4 linked regions of the Saccharomyces cerevisiae S288C genome follow. Changing the gene in region 3 together with the main gene of any one other region gives a genetic interaction. Each region holds a gene or a part of one and is shown on either strand. Other genes may lie near its edges.

Evidence for each region.
Region 1: mutations in YBR298C-A (region 3) and YHC3 together harm fitness more than expected from each alone (negative genetic interaction), as found in Saccharomyces cerevisiae (one large-scale study listed by BioGRID).
Region 2: mutations in YBR298C-A (region 3) and PSG1 together harm fitness more than expected from each alone (negative genetic interaction), as found in Saccharomyces cerevisiae (one large-scale study listed by BioGRID).
Region 4: mutations in YBR298C-A (region 3) and GSP2 together harm fitness more than expected from each alone (negative genetic interaction), as found in Saccharomyces cerevisiae (one large-scale study listed by BioGRID).

What each region holds. Positions count from the first base shown.
Region 1 is NC_001142.9:323,343-326,780, reverse strand, and holds YHC3 (amino acid transporter YHC3), read right to left. Parts: upstream 1,818-3,438; coding exon 591-1,817; downstream 1-590. Other genes in the region: BIT61 (Bit61p), read left to right, coding at 1-539; BNA3 (kynurenine--oxoglutarate transaminase), read right to left, coding at 2,061-3,395. UniProt on the Saccharomyces cerevisiae protein: Plays a role in vacuolar arginine transport. Involved in pH homeostasis. May be involved in ion homeostasis together with IST2. Not necessary for mitochondrial function or ATP synthase degradation.
Region 2 is NC_001143.9:289,862-293,216, reverse strand, and holds PSG1 (Psg1p), read right to left. Parts: upstream 1,765-3,355; coding exon 586-1,764; downstream 1-585. Other genes in the region: AAN1 (Aan1p), read left to right, coding at 1-261; DHR2 (RNA helicase), read right to left, coding at 2,165-3,355. UniProt on the Saccharomyces cerevisiae protein: With EXP1, the specific cargo receptor protein for the plasma membrane ATPase PMA1, is involved in the transport and/or maturation of PMA1.
Region 3 is NC_001134.8:804,465-807,249, forward strand, and holds YBR298C-A (uncharacterized protein), read right to left. Parts: upstream 793-2,785; coding exon 571-792; downstream 1-570. Other genes in the region: MAL31 (maltose permease), read right to left, coding at 1-11; alpha-glucosidase MAL32, read left to right, coding at 887-2,641.
Region 4 is NC_001147.6:680,908-683,784, forward strand, and holds GSP2 (Ran GTPase GSP2), read right to left. Parts: upstream 1,200-2,877; coding exon 537-1,199; downstream 1-536. Other genes in the region: YOR186W (uncharacterized protein), read left to right, coding at 2,204-2,638. UniProt on the Saccharomyces cerevisiae protein: GTP-binding protein involved in nucleocytoplasmic transport. Required for the import of protein into the nucleus and also for RNA export. Not essential for cell viability.

The sequences.
Region 1 (3,438 bases), on a different chromosome or scaffold from region 3:
TCACACATAGCGGCATGAATAGAATTATCAGCGATTTGAAAGAATTTTTGGTTAGTTCCCTATACAATTTAGAAAACCAAATTGTTTTTAACTATTCTAATGAAGACACAATAAATAACGCATTGAAAAGATTAGGCGTTATATGGCGGATATTTTATCAAGAGGTATATTATGATTTAGCCGCTGTGTTATTACCGTTGGATCAGAGTATCAGAGAAGATGGTAATTCTACGGTTTTAAAGTCAGGCAATGAAAGTCGGACTCACATTAATGGTAATTATTCTATTGGGTTTCTTTTGCTTATGTGCTTTAGAGATTCAATAGTCTTACCTTGTTATGAAAACTTCGTAAATAGTAACGATGGTATCAGCAAAAGTTTTCAACTTTACATTTTCAATCAAGAAGAAGAAAGTAATGTCACAGAAACAGATAAATTGACATTACTGCAGTGTTTTGGCATATTGAGTACCATTCAAAGTAATGATAGAAATCAACGAATTATCGAAGAGTTATTAGCAGGCATTAGAATGAGTATATAGAAAGCATCTAACACTTTATTTCAATCTCCTATTTAATATCACAACAAAACTTTATTCCATCCTACACCAAGGTCTGTCATCGGCAATTTGATGCCTACAAAGTTTGGGTTCTAGCCCCAAACCAAGTAACGCAGCCAAAAAAACGCCAAAGGAATCAGCGATGGACACAGCACCCATGGCGAACTCTGTTTCATCAGGATCCTCTTGTTCGAGAATATTTAAGAATGTGTTAACATATGACGCACCACCAAGAAAACCCTCATAGAATATTAATATCATCACCGCCCAGGGCGAATGTGTGACATAAAACCATGATTGCAGTACCGTTATGCACAAATTCACACCTTGTAAAAACGCTAAGATGTATAAACTCCTCATTCTCATAAGATGTCCAAAGGATCTTGATATAAAGACACCTAATTGGTAGAGCGTTCCATAGGTTACGTATATATCTCTGTATTTATGGAAGAAAAATGGCATCGATTTACTTCTTTCATCACCATTAATCGGAAATAATAGGGTCGGAGCTACCGCTTGGTTTATTAAATATTCGAATAAGTAGACGGTGGTCAATGGAACCATGTATGGAAAAACCAATCTTCGAAGTCTCTTGACCGTTTGCAAAATGTGCTGTCTTGTAGAATACAGGGATTGCGAAGCGTTGGTATGTGTAAAGGCGACAGGAAAGGGCACCAACTGGTCATCCTCTGCTTCGTCAATTTGTTGAAGACTTTGGTAAGTCAGGTTGGTATCATTGGATTCTAATTTAAAATAAAACAAAAATGCAAATGGAAGGAGACTAAATACTAGTAAAGTTAGCTTCACTGGAACTTTAAAGATTGAAGTTAAGAACATATAAGATGCTCCGCCAATGATTCCTGCACCACCAGTACCTGACGACCATCCATTCAAAGAAATTTGTTTGTAATAGTGTGTTAGCTGTAGGAATGTCACTTCTCCAAATCCGGAAGATATAGATGCGAAAGATATTCCTAAAAGACAAACAAACAAGTTTTTAAAAGAAACTAAGAACATTCCTAAGCAACTCATCGTGATCAAAGACCATATTCTATAGCTGTACTTGATTCTATCAATAAAGAATGGGGAACACAATTTAATGGCGAGTGATGGGAATATATCTGCTAGCAATACTAGAGATTTAGGCAAGGTAGGACCCACGATATCAACAGCTGCTGAAAGTATTACCACATAAAGTACATTATTGATCAAACCAAAGAGCCAAAAGTAGCAATATATCTGATGAGATTTGTCACTCATTTATATTTACTTGCGCTATATCTTCATATGTGTTTAAGTACTCTATAAATACACTGTTCAAAACATTACTAAATGTTCATATTGTCTATTTTTCATTAAGGGTTCACTTTTTCTTGTAGTACGCGAAGAAAATATGGAATTATTCTGGAATATTGATGTTTATATTTACCACTTCTGCATAAAAATATACATGCTTTATAAAATCTATATATTGAGAAAAAGGAGTATAAAAAAAAATTTATCTTATAAGTAGTCCTTGAGTAGTTTTAATCTCTCTACGGCATTTTCTAGATAAGCATCATCTTTACAAACTGCAAACCTTAACAAATTCTCAGCAGCCTTTTCGTGCTCTTTGATATAGAATTCAGTTGGTGGAATGGCAACCACACCTAATTCATTGATCAACCAGTGAGAAATGCGAAAATCTTTTCCCTTATTCAGGATCTCCTCTGGGTAGGGATAGTCCTCGGGAATTTTCACTTTAGAGAAATCAACGAGGACAAAATATGTACCCTCTGGAGCTGTATATGGTAGTCCCAATTCATCAAAGATCGATGTGAAAATTTTGAATTTGTTGATATATTCCTGTCTCATTTTTTCAAAATACCCAATTTTTAAAGCGTCGTTAATAGAGTTTGCACAAGCTTCCTGTAGAGGGGATGGAGATGCAAAACAAATTCTTGTATGTGCCTTAGCTGCATAACTTAACAACTCTGCGTTCAAGGATAAGACCCAACCAATTCTCCAACCAGTAGCAGCAAACGATTTACCGGCAGAACCGACCGTTAAGGTTAGTTGCCCAATTTCTGGAGAGAGTGTGGCAATTCTAGTGAAAGAATCAGTGAAGTAAAGGTGTTCATAGACTTCATCAGATATAATCACAACGTTGTGCTTGACGCAAATGTTACCTAAAGTGGTTAATTCCTCGCGCGTGAAAACTTTACCAATTGGGTTGTGAGGGGTATTGATAATGACAGCTTTTGTCTTGGATGTAATCGCTTTTTCGAACTGCTCAAAGTCAATGGTCCATTCTTCACCTCTAGTATTCCTTTGATCCAATTCCTTTGGAGGATTTATGGGGACGTAAACAACTTTACCACCGCAAAGTTCGATATTTGGAATATATTGGTCAAAGAAAGGTTCAAAAACAATAACCTCGTCGCCAGCGTTCAAAAGCCCCATCAAGCAAGAAAGTATACCTTCATTGGCACCTGTTGTTACGGTAACATTTTCCGCTTTCAATTCTGTGTTATAAATAGGAGAATACAACTTAATCAAGGAATTAATTAATGAAGGTCGACCTCTAGTTGGAGAATATTGATTGACCATTGGAATGTCTAGGGCTTTCTGAGCCTCCTTAATGGCGAATTGAGGAGGGGAATATGAAAAAAAGCCTTGGCCTAAATTAATAAGTTCACGGCCTTGGTTTTTGGAGTTATTGGCAGCTTTTGCAGCGGCTTCATTGGTTAGCGACCAAACATCTTTGGCAGTGTTAGAAGTGAAATATTTGTTGGCAACAACTTTCGGTCTCGAAGTAGACATTAGGTTCGTAAATTGACGAATGAATCGTTGTTTCATTGAGAGCAAGTAACAATGGATTCTATACGCAATTATAGTAAAT
Region 2 (3,355 bases), on a different chromosome or scaffold from region 3:
TTGTTTGCTAATTGTGGCACGAACAACTTCTGGAAAATTATGTTGGTGTTGGAACCCTTTTTCTACTACATTGAAGACGTCGGCGGAGATGATGATGAAGATGAAGATAATGTGGACAATAGCGAGGGCGACGAAGAAAGCTTACTTAGCAGGAATGTGGAAGGAGATGATAATGTGGTTGAGCGTCATTTTAAGCCTGATCCAAGGGTCATTACACTGGAAAAAATATGTGAAGTTGCTGCAAGACAGAAATGGATATAAGGAGAAATCAAAGGAAAAGAAGCAAGATCCAGCGTTTTCTTTTGAACCCTGGAGGATGCTGATGCATTCTCTATTTATTTGGTATCAAATTGTCGTACAGATGATTTATATATGTTAATATTGTTCAGTTTACACTAATTTTAATTTACCGTATTTACTATCCAAAGGAGAAAAAAAGAAGTATATGGACTTCAGTATTTATACAATATCGAGTTAAGATAAGTTAAGTAACAAAAAAAACTGGATAGAGTGGTTTTCTATTAGTGTGACGGAAGATAAAAACAGCCCTCTCGAGGAAGGGTGAATGCATACTTCGAAGGGAATCTAATTTTGTTTACTGGTTTTCTTATAAGATGGCAATTCGGTGTACTTGTGATTTTTCATGTTTTTGAATTTCTTCATCTCCGAGAACTTACCCAAAACACGGCGTTTCTTGTTTAAAGCTTTTCTAGTAACATCTGTGAAATCTCTGTTTTTCCCGTTGACATATAAGAAAAAGTACATGAAGACGAAAAATACCACCACGACAGTAGGGATAGATAATGCAACATAATACCACTGATCATTTGTTATACCTGCATCGTCTAAAGCCAGTTGCTCCTTAGTAGGCTTAAACACTTTTGAACCCTTAGTGATGTATAATAAAATACCGTATTGTAGTGGATCGAAATCTTCATCTGATATGTATATTGGCTGAACTGATACAACGATCCTACGATCAAATTGGTCCTGCAGCCATTCATCTCTGACCTCAACCGGCATTAGACCGTTGTCATTATCAATCCATTCGGAAGAGAAAAAAGTTGCAGGGATATCTCTTTTATAATTGCCCTTCTCTACGGGGTTTTCTTTAACATAGGACAAATGAACACGAACCTTATCAGCAACTTTACCGGAATTCTCATCTGTAAAAAATCTTGTATACCAAGTAACGAAGTAAGTCTTGTCAACCTTCCATCTAGAATTCTCATAAGGGGTACAAAATGGCTCACTGCGGATATCCTTTGCTAGACCTTTATTGAAGTAAAGATTAGGAGTACATCTGACAATAGGATTCAGGGAGACGTAGGTGTCATCTTCATCAATATACTCTTCTTCTACAAAAACTTCATTAGGGCCCATATTGTGAGCCTTCAATTCTTCATAAGAATATGTGTGGGAACTTACCGTTTTGAAGTAAGTTGAGTAATCAGGTCTTCCCTTCTTGGTTCGACCTTTGTTGATTTCTGGTTTAATGGTTTTTGGCCTACCATCATGCTCTAAAGATACCCAAGGTTTCAATGGATTTGGTGTTTCTTCTGGTTTTTCAGAAAAAGTGACACCGGCAATGACCGTAGGAGTGACTAATTCTTTTTGACTTCCATAAACCGTACGTAACCAAGGTTTAACTTCTTCTGAAGTAGTCATTTTCTCCTTTGGACGAACGACTTGTCTTGCACCATGAACATGTTGATAAAGCGATGCCAAAGAAAAGAAGATAAGTATACTATCGTGAAATCTCATTATTCCGCAATTCCTTCAGATCCCGCAGAACTGCTTCCGACTATATTGTCTTAACCTTTTTGCTAAAATATTTTGTTCTTCAAAAGTAAAGAATAGCTTGCTGAGAGAAATGCGTCGAATTGCCTTTCTTATTTTTTTCATGATCTTTTATTCCTTTTCAAAATGTCAACGGCAAAATAATATAATTTCGCCCTTTTCCCGAGATAATTTCACAAAAAAAGCCAACGAACAATTCGAAAGGCGTTTAACATGAATATACATATATACCTGTGTATATTCATAAGATATTGAGAAATGAATCCATGAAACTCATACTGCAGTAGTTGTTACGATTTATAATGCTCTATAAATTACATTAAATGCCTTTATATACAATAAAAATGCGCTAAGAGTAGGTGACTTATTTTGAATCAGAAACTTTTTGCTTTGCTACAGCGGCTGCATTAGTGACAACTTCTTGTAACCATGAAAGTTCAATCCTACTAACATTTCTGGCATATCCCTTCGTAGTAAAGACATACTCCGTGTACATTATACCGGGGCAGCTTTTATTCATAAATAGCATAGATGATGGATGAATGCTTATCGGCTCTCCAGTGGAAACAGTTCTATAAGACCTGTCTGGCATCCCTATAGCTGTATTCTTGATAAACCCAGTTAAGAAACACTTTAAAATTTTCGAAATTAGCTCGCCATCTTCACCAATCTTTTTGGATTCTTCATCCTCTTCACTGATTGAAGAAAACAAACGCTTACAATAAACTCTTAACTGGTCTCTGACACGAATTACATTTTTAAACCCACGTATCGAAATACACAATCCTTTACACCAATCATTTCTTTCAGAGCTTGCATCTTGACTTTTCCCTAGTTCGTAGAAATAGATATCAAAAAGCTCTTTCAGCATGATAAGGTCACCATACCTTTTACCAGCGTTGCATAAGGACAAACGACGCTCGTTCACCTCATCTCTTTCTTCTGGTGACGGATTCAACAGTAAATTTTCCACACTAAGGCAAGAGACGATATCAATGACCTGACTCAAACATCCGACTTCACTGGCTTTAATTAAGACACTACTTAAATGCGGTTGTAGCGGTAACAGAGCCATTTGTTGACCCCGTTTAGTTATCTTTCCACGAGTGTCAAGAGCACCCAATTCATAAAGTTCCTGAAGCCCCATTACTATAGCTTCCTTTCCAGGGTTCTCAAACCAGGTCCAGTTTAGCAGGTCATCAACACCATATCTCTTCAACATTAACACAGGAGATGTGACGTCACTTCTGGCTATTTCAGGTTCACTTTGTTTAGGTAATTTCACATAATCAGACTCACAATAAAGCCTGAAACTCTTTCCTTCACTTTCTCTACCAGCACGACCACTTCTCTGCATCGCACTTGCCTGAGAAATGGGTACGGTAAGTAGAGTGGCTAATCCCAGCTGATGTCTCCAAACTTTGACTTTTCGAAGACCAGAATCAACGACAAATTTAACACCGGATATGGTAACAGATGTTTCTGCAATATTGGTACTAAAGACGACTTTTCTCTTGAAACCCTTTATCGGAGCGAAGACCAAGGACTGTTGGAC
Region 3 (2,785 bases):
AATCCCTTCATAGTTAATTAATAGTCTTGGATGTAATTCTTATTGTTATACTGAATACGCTAAAACCACTCACAACAAGTATGGAGTATATTGTGTCTCTTTATATACTGAGTACTTATGCAATATGCGCTCACTCAGGATGAAATGTACACAGCCGAAAGTATATTGAAAGCTGCCTCTGTGGAAACTTCTATCTAATGTTGTCTCCAGATGTAGACTATGAGGCCTGAAGAAGTCTTTAAACACCTGTTGGAGAGTATAAGGAGACTGCTACAACAACGTCTTCCCCACAAAAATTATGTGGAGGCCGGTATGATACCTGCACAAACGTTAAGTTACACATGAAAAAGAGACTGACATAACTTTGATCTCTGAAAATATGTTTTCCCCTGAGTAGCTTCACTGCTTGGATACCAATACGAATAGACCTTGGCTATAGTAAGTTGCATCTGTACCGTAGAGATTCTTGCAACCTCGCTTAAACTCTCGCTTTTATATAATATTTCTCCTTATTGCGCGCTTCGTTGAAAATTTCGCTAAACACGGGGTTTAAGTTTAAGTTTACAGGATTTATCCGGAAGTTTTCGCGGACCCCACACAATTAAGAATTGGCTCGAAGAGTGATAACGCATACTTTTCTTTTCTTTTTTCAGTTCCTAGCGTACCTAACGTAGGTAACATGATTTGGATCGTGGGATGATACAAACAACGTAAGATGAGTAGTTCCTTCCTCAATTCTTCTTTCAGCATCATTTTCTTGAGGCGCTCTGGGCAAGGTATAAAAAGTTCCATTAATACGTCTCTAAAAAATTAAACCATCTATCTCTTAAGCAGTTTTTTTGATAATCTCAAATGTACATCAGTCAAGCGTAACTAAAATACATAAATGACTATTTCTGATCATCCAGAAACAGAACCAAAGTGGTGGAAAGAGGCCACAATCTATCAAATTTACCCAGCAAGTTTTAAAGACTCCAATAACGATGGCTGGGGTGATTTAAAAGGTATCACTTCCAAGTTGCAGTATATTAAAGATCTTGGCGTTGATGCTATTTGGGTTTGTCCGTTTTATGACTCTCCTCAACAAGATATGGGGTATGATATATCTAACTACGAAAAGGTCTGGCCCACATACGGTACCAACGAGGACTGTTTTGAGCTAATTGACAAGACTCATAAGCTGGGTATGAAATTCATCACCGATTTGGTTATCAACCACTGTTCTACAGAACACGAATGGTTCAAAGAGAGCAGATCCTCGAAGACCAATCCGAAGCGTGACTGGTTCTTCTGGAGACCTCCTAAAGGTTATGACGCCGAAGGCAAGCCAATTCCTCCAAACAATTGGAAATCTTTCTTTGGTGGTTCAGCTTGGACTTTTGATGAAACTACAAATGAATTTTACCTCCGTTTGTTTGCGAGTCGTCAAGTTGACTTGAATTGGGAGAATGAAGACTGCAGAAGGGCAATCTTTGAAAGTGCTGTTGGATTTTGGCTGGACCATGGTGTAGATGGTTTTAGAATCGATACCGCTGGTTTGTATTCGAAACGTCCTGGTTTACCAGATTCCCCAATTTTTGACAAAACCTCGAAATTACAACATCCAAATTGGGGGTCTCACAATGGTCCTAGGATTCATGAATATCATCAAGAACTACACAGATTTATGAAAAACAGGGTGAAAGATGGTAGAGAAATAATGACAGTCGGTGAAGTTGCCCATGGAAGTGATAATGCTTTATACACCAGTGCAGCTAGATACGAAGTCAGCGAAGTTTTCTCCTTCACGCACGTTGAACTTGGTACCTCGCCATTTTTCCGTTATAACATAGTGCCCTTCACCTTGAAACAATGGAAAGAAGCCATTGCATCGAACTTTTTGTTCATTAACGGTACTGATAGTTGGGCTACCACCTACATCGAGAATCACGATCAAGCCCGGTCAATTACGAGATTTGCTGACGATTCGCCAAAGTACCGTAAAATATCTGGTAAGCTGTTAACATTGCTAGAATGTTCATTGACAGGTACGTTGTATGTCTATCAAGGTCAGGAGATAGGCCAGATCAATTTCAAGGAATGGCCTATTGAAAAGTATGAGGACGTTGATGTGAAAAACAACTACGAGATTATCAAAAAAAGTTTTGGTAAAAACTCGAAGGAAATGAAGGATTTTTTTAAAGGAATCGCCCTACTTTCTAGAGATCATTCGAGAACTCCCATGCCATGGACGAAAGATAAGCCCAATGCTGGATTTACTGGCCCAGATGTTAAACCTTGGTTTTTCTTGAATGAATCTTTTGAGCAAGGAATCAATGTTGAGCAGGAATCCAGAGATGATGACTCAGTTCTCAATTTTTGGAAAAGGGCCTTGCAAGCCAGAAAGAAATATAAGGAACTTATGATTTATGGTTACGATTTCCAATTCATTGATTTAGACAGTGACCAGATCTTTAGCTTCACTAAAGAGTACGAAGACAAGACGCTGTTTGCTGCTTTGAATTTCAGTGGCGAAGAAATTGAATTCAGCCTCCCAAGAGAAGGTGCTTCTTTATCTTTTATTCTTGGAAATTATGATGATACTGACGTTTCCTCCAGAGTTTTGAAACCATGGGAAGGTAGAATCTACCTCGTCAAATAAAATTAGTGCCGACTTTTTTTTAGCGCGTACTTTAACGAAATAACAGATGATTTTTCACATGATTTTTGTTAGATAAATTTTTTATATGTAAATGATGATAACGTAAAAGCACTGTTGATAATTTGTTTCACCATTATGGGTAAA
Region 4 (2,877 bases), on a different chromosome or scaffold from region 3:
ATACTTTTTTTTGTCGCGTCTACCAATTAAATGAAAACATAATTGGGAATACTTTCCTCTTCTTATATTTTATCTTAACTCGTTTCCGATCTTCTGATATTCTATTTGTATATGAATAAGAACATTATTGTAATCGAAAGAAGTATCTCTTTTCAAGAGGATTACTTTTCATTGAAAACTTTTGGACGGGCAAAAAAAAAAAAGCGCCAGCAGGAAGAAAAAAGGAATCTAGTAAAAAATAAAAATTAGGTTTATAAAGTAGTAAGTGAAGTGCAAGAGGGAGCGTTATTGGACGATCATATTGTGATCGGATCCCGTTTATTGGTCTTTGATTCAATTTAAAAGAAAAGAAATGTACAGGTTAAACTTCAACATACCAAAAAAAAATTACAATGTGGCAATTAAACAGAGAAGAACTAATTCTTTAAAAATAGACTTTCAGAACTATATATTAAAAATAAAAGAAATTTCAAAAAAAAATTTTTAGATTGATGTGAGAAGAAGCAGAATATTTTCGTATATAAATTTTCATGTTTTTATAAATCAGCATCGTCTTCATCAGGTAATGGTAAAGCAGTGGCTTGGTCCATTTCTTGCTGGTATTGGTGCATTAGTTGCTCGTCAACTTGCACCTCAGGTGGGGCCAATGCAGGAGACGCAACAAACTCCAATTGTGGGTTACCGGCAAGTTTTCTAGCCAACCACAAGAAAGGCTTTTCAAAATTATAATTGGATTTTGCAGAAATGTCATAATATTGTAAGTTCTTTTTTCTATGGAAAGTGATAGTCTTGGCCTTGACCTTTCTCTCTTTGACATCGACTTTATTGCCACATAGCACTATGGGAATATTTTCACACACACGGACTAAGTCTCTATGCCAATTAGGGACGTTCTTGTAAGTGATTCTGGATGTGACATCGAACATAATAATTGCACATTGAGCATTGATGTAATAACCATCCCTTAACCCGCCAAATTTTTCTTGGCCTGCGGTATCCCAGACATCGAACTTAATTTCACCGAAATTAGTATAAAAAGATAGAGGATGAACTTCTACTCCGATAGTTGCAATGTATTTTTTTTCAAATTCACCGGTCAGATGTCTCTTCACAAAGGTAGTCTTACCAGTACCTCCATCACCAACAAGAACTAACTTGAAAGTGGGAACCTCGGCATTGTTTTGAGCAGGTGCTGACATTACGAACTTATATAGGTAGTCACAGGTTTATATCTTTATTGTGCTTAGCCGAACACTTACTTTCTCTCAAATTCCATCAAGAATTATTGTTTATTCCTCCAGAAGAGATCAAGTACCATTTACACTATTTTTTGTATTTAAGGGGTGGCAGAATTCAGGATGCCACATGCGGCTTTTAATGATAGCAAGCTTATACAGCGGAAGACAAAAAAACGGGTAACTGACATTGTATATATTCACCTTGAAAATAAGTGCTAACGCCATGTAAGGGTATGGCCCGCTTAAAGGGCAAGTTCACTCCGCTCAAGATACAAAACTGAAACGATGAAGAAAAAAAGAGCATCTTGACCTCCCGTGACTCATTAAGACCACTTGAGACCACTTGCTCTATGTGTATCAACCTATAAACTGTATATCTTTTGCATTTTGCACCTCCTTAAGGAAAGAAACTCCCTTCGAAAGTATTATTTCCCTGTGGCCCCTTACTTCTCTAATTGACAAGACAGAATTTTCTCGATAATTCCCTGGATAAAGTGTCAGTTTATAGAGTAGATCTCACTTGCCTTTTGACTGCTTCCGCAAGCAGAGGGATCGTAAGTTGTACACACCATTGCCTTGGCTATTACCACCACAATGTCGTGGCAATAGCGGAACCGTGCGGATGTAGCCATTGCTGCAAGCGAAAGCGCGGAGGTTAGCGGCAATGGCGTTCAAAACGGGATGGCTTCTTCGCCAAGTACACGGAATAATATCCAGATAGAAGTATTTTTGTGCGGTAAAGGGTACCACATCTGCAGCAGCGCAATGAAAATTGCGTATCAACAGCAAAAGAAATACTTAAATAGCATGTTTAGCACTTTTGATATAAAAAGGGGCCGCAAATGTTCTGGCGTATTACTGTTTTTTCTTGTCAAATGTGTCACTAAGCAAGCAACTTGTAATCAAGACCTCAATTCAAGGTTAGTTTACTCCTTCTCTCAAATACTACGTAACAGATCTTATTGATGACTTTGGCTTTTACGACCTTCGCTATTTCCAAGATAAACAATTCGTCCACGAATGAAGATTCTAAAGTCATGATACTGTGCGATGAGCATCACCCTTTCGAGAAGGGTTACTTTAAGTCCGCCATACGAGCCTTCGGCAACAGCATTAAGCTAGGATTAATGGGTAACTCGCGACCAGAAGACGCAGCGTCCATATTCCAAGATAAAAATATTCCTCACGATCTGACGACGGAAGAATTCAGGTTGCAGCTGGTCTGTATGGCTTTTTCCTGGTTCATATTTGGTCTCTTCATCGCCTGCTTACTACTTTGTATCACGCTTGTGCTAACATCGCGATATCCTGGAGAAAATGAAAACAAAGCCACGGAAGTTGTGCCATCCAGTAATATTGACGACGAAGAAAAGCAATTATCGCTTTCCGACATGATTTAGTACTACGTGGAAGAAAGGAAAAGAAGCTGCTTTTCTCATTTAAAACATTTAGTTTATATACTTCGCCTCTGGAGGACTTTTCAATTTATGCAATATGTGAGCACTTCTCTATTCTCGATTAGGTCTCTGATATATACATATACATAAACATAAAGCAGTAAGTTGGGTCTATTATACTGACAACCCTGTTACCCGCATTGAAATTGACAGGCTGCCCATTGATTGGTCAGTTTCCCACT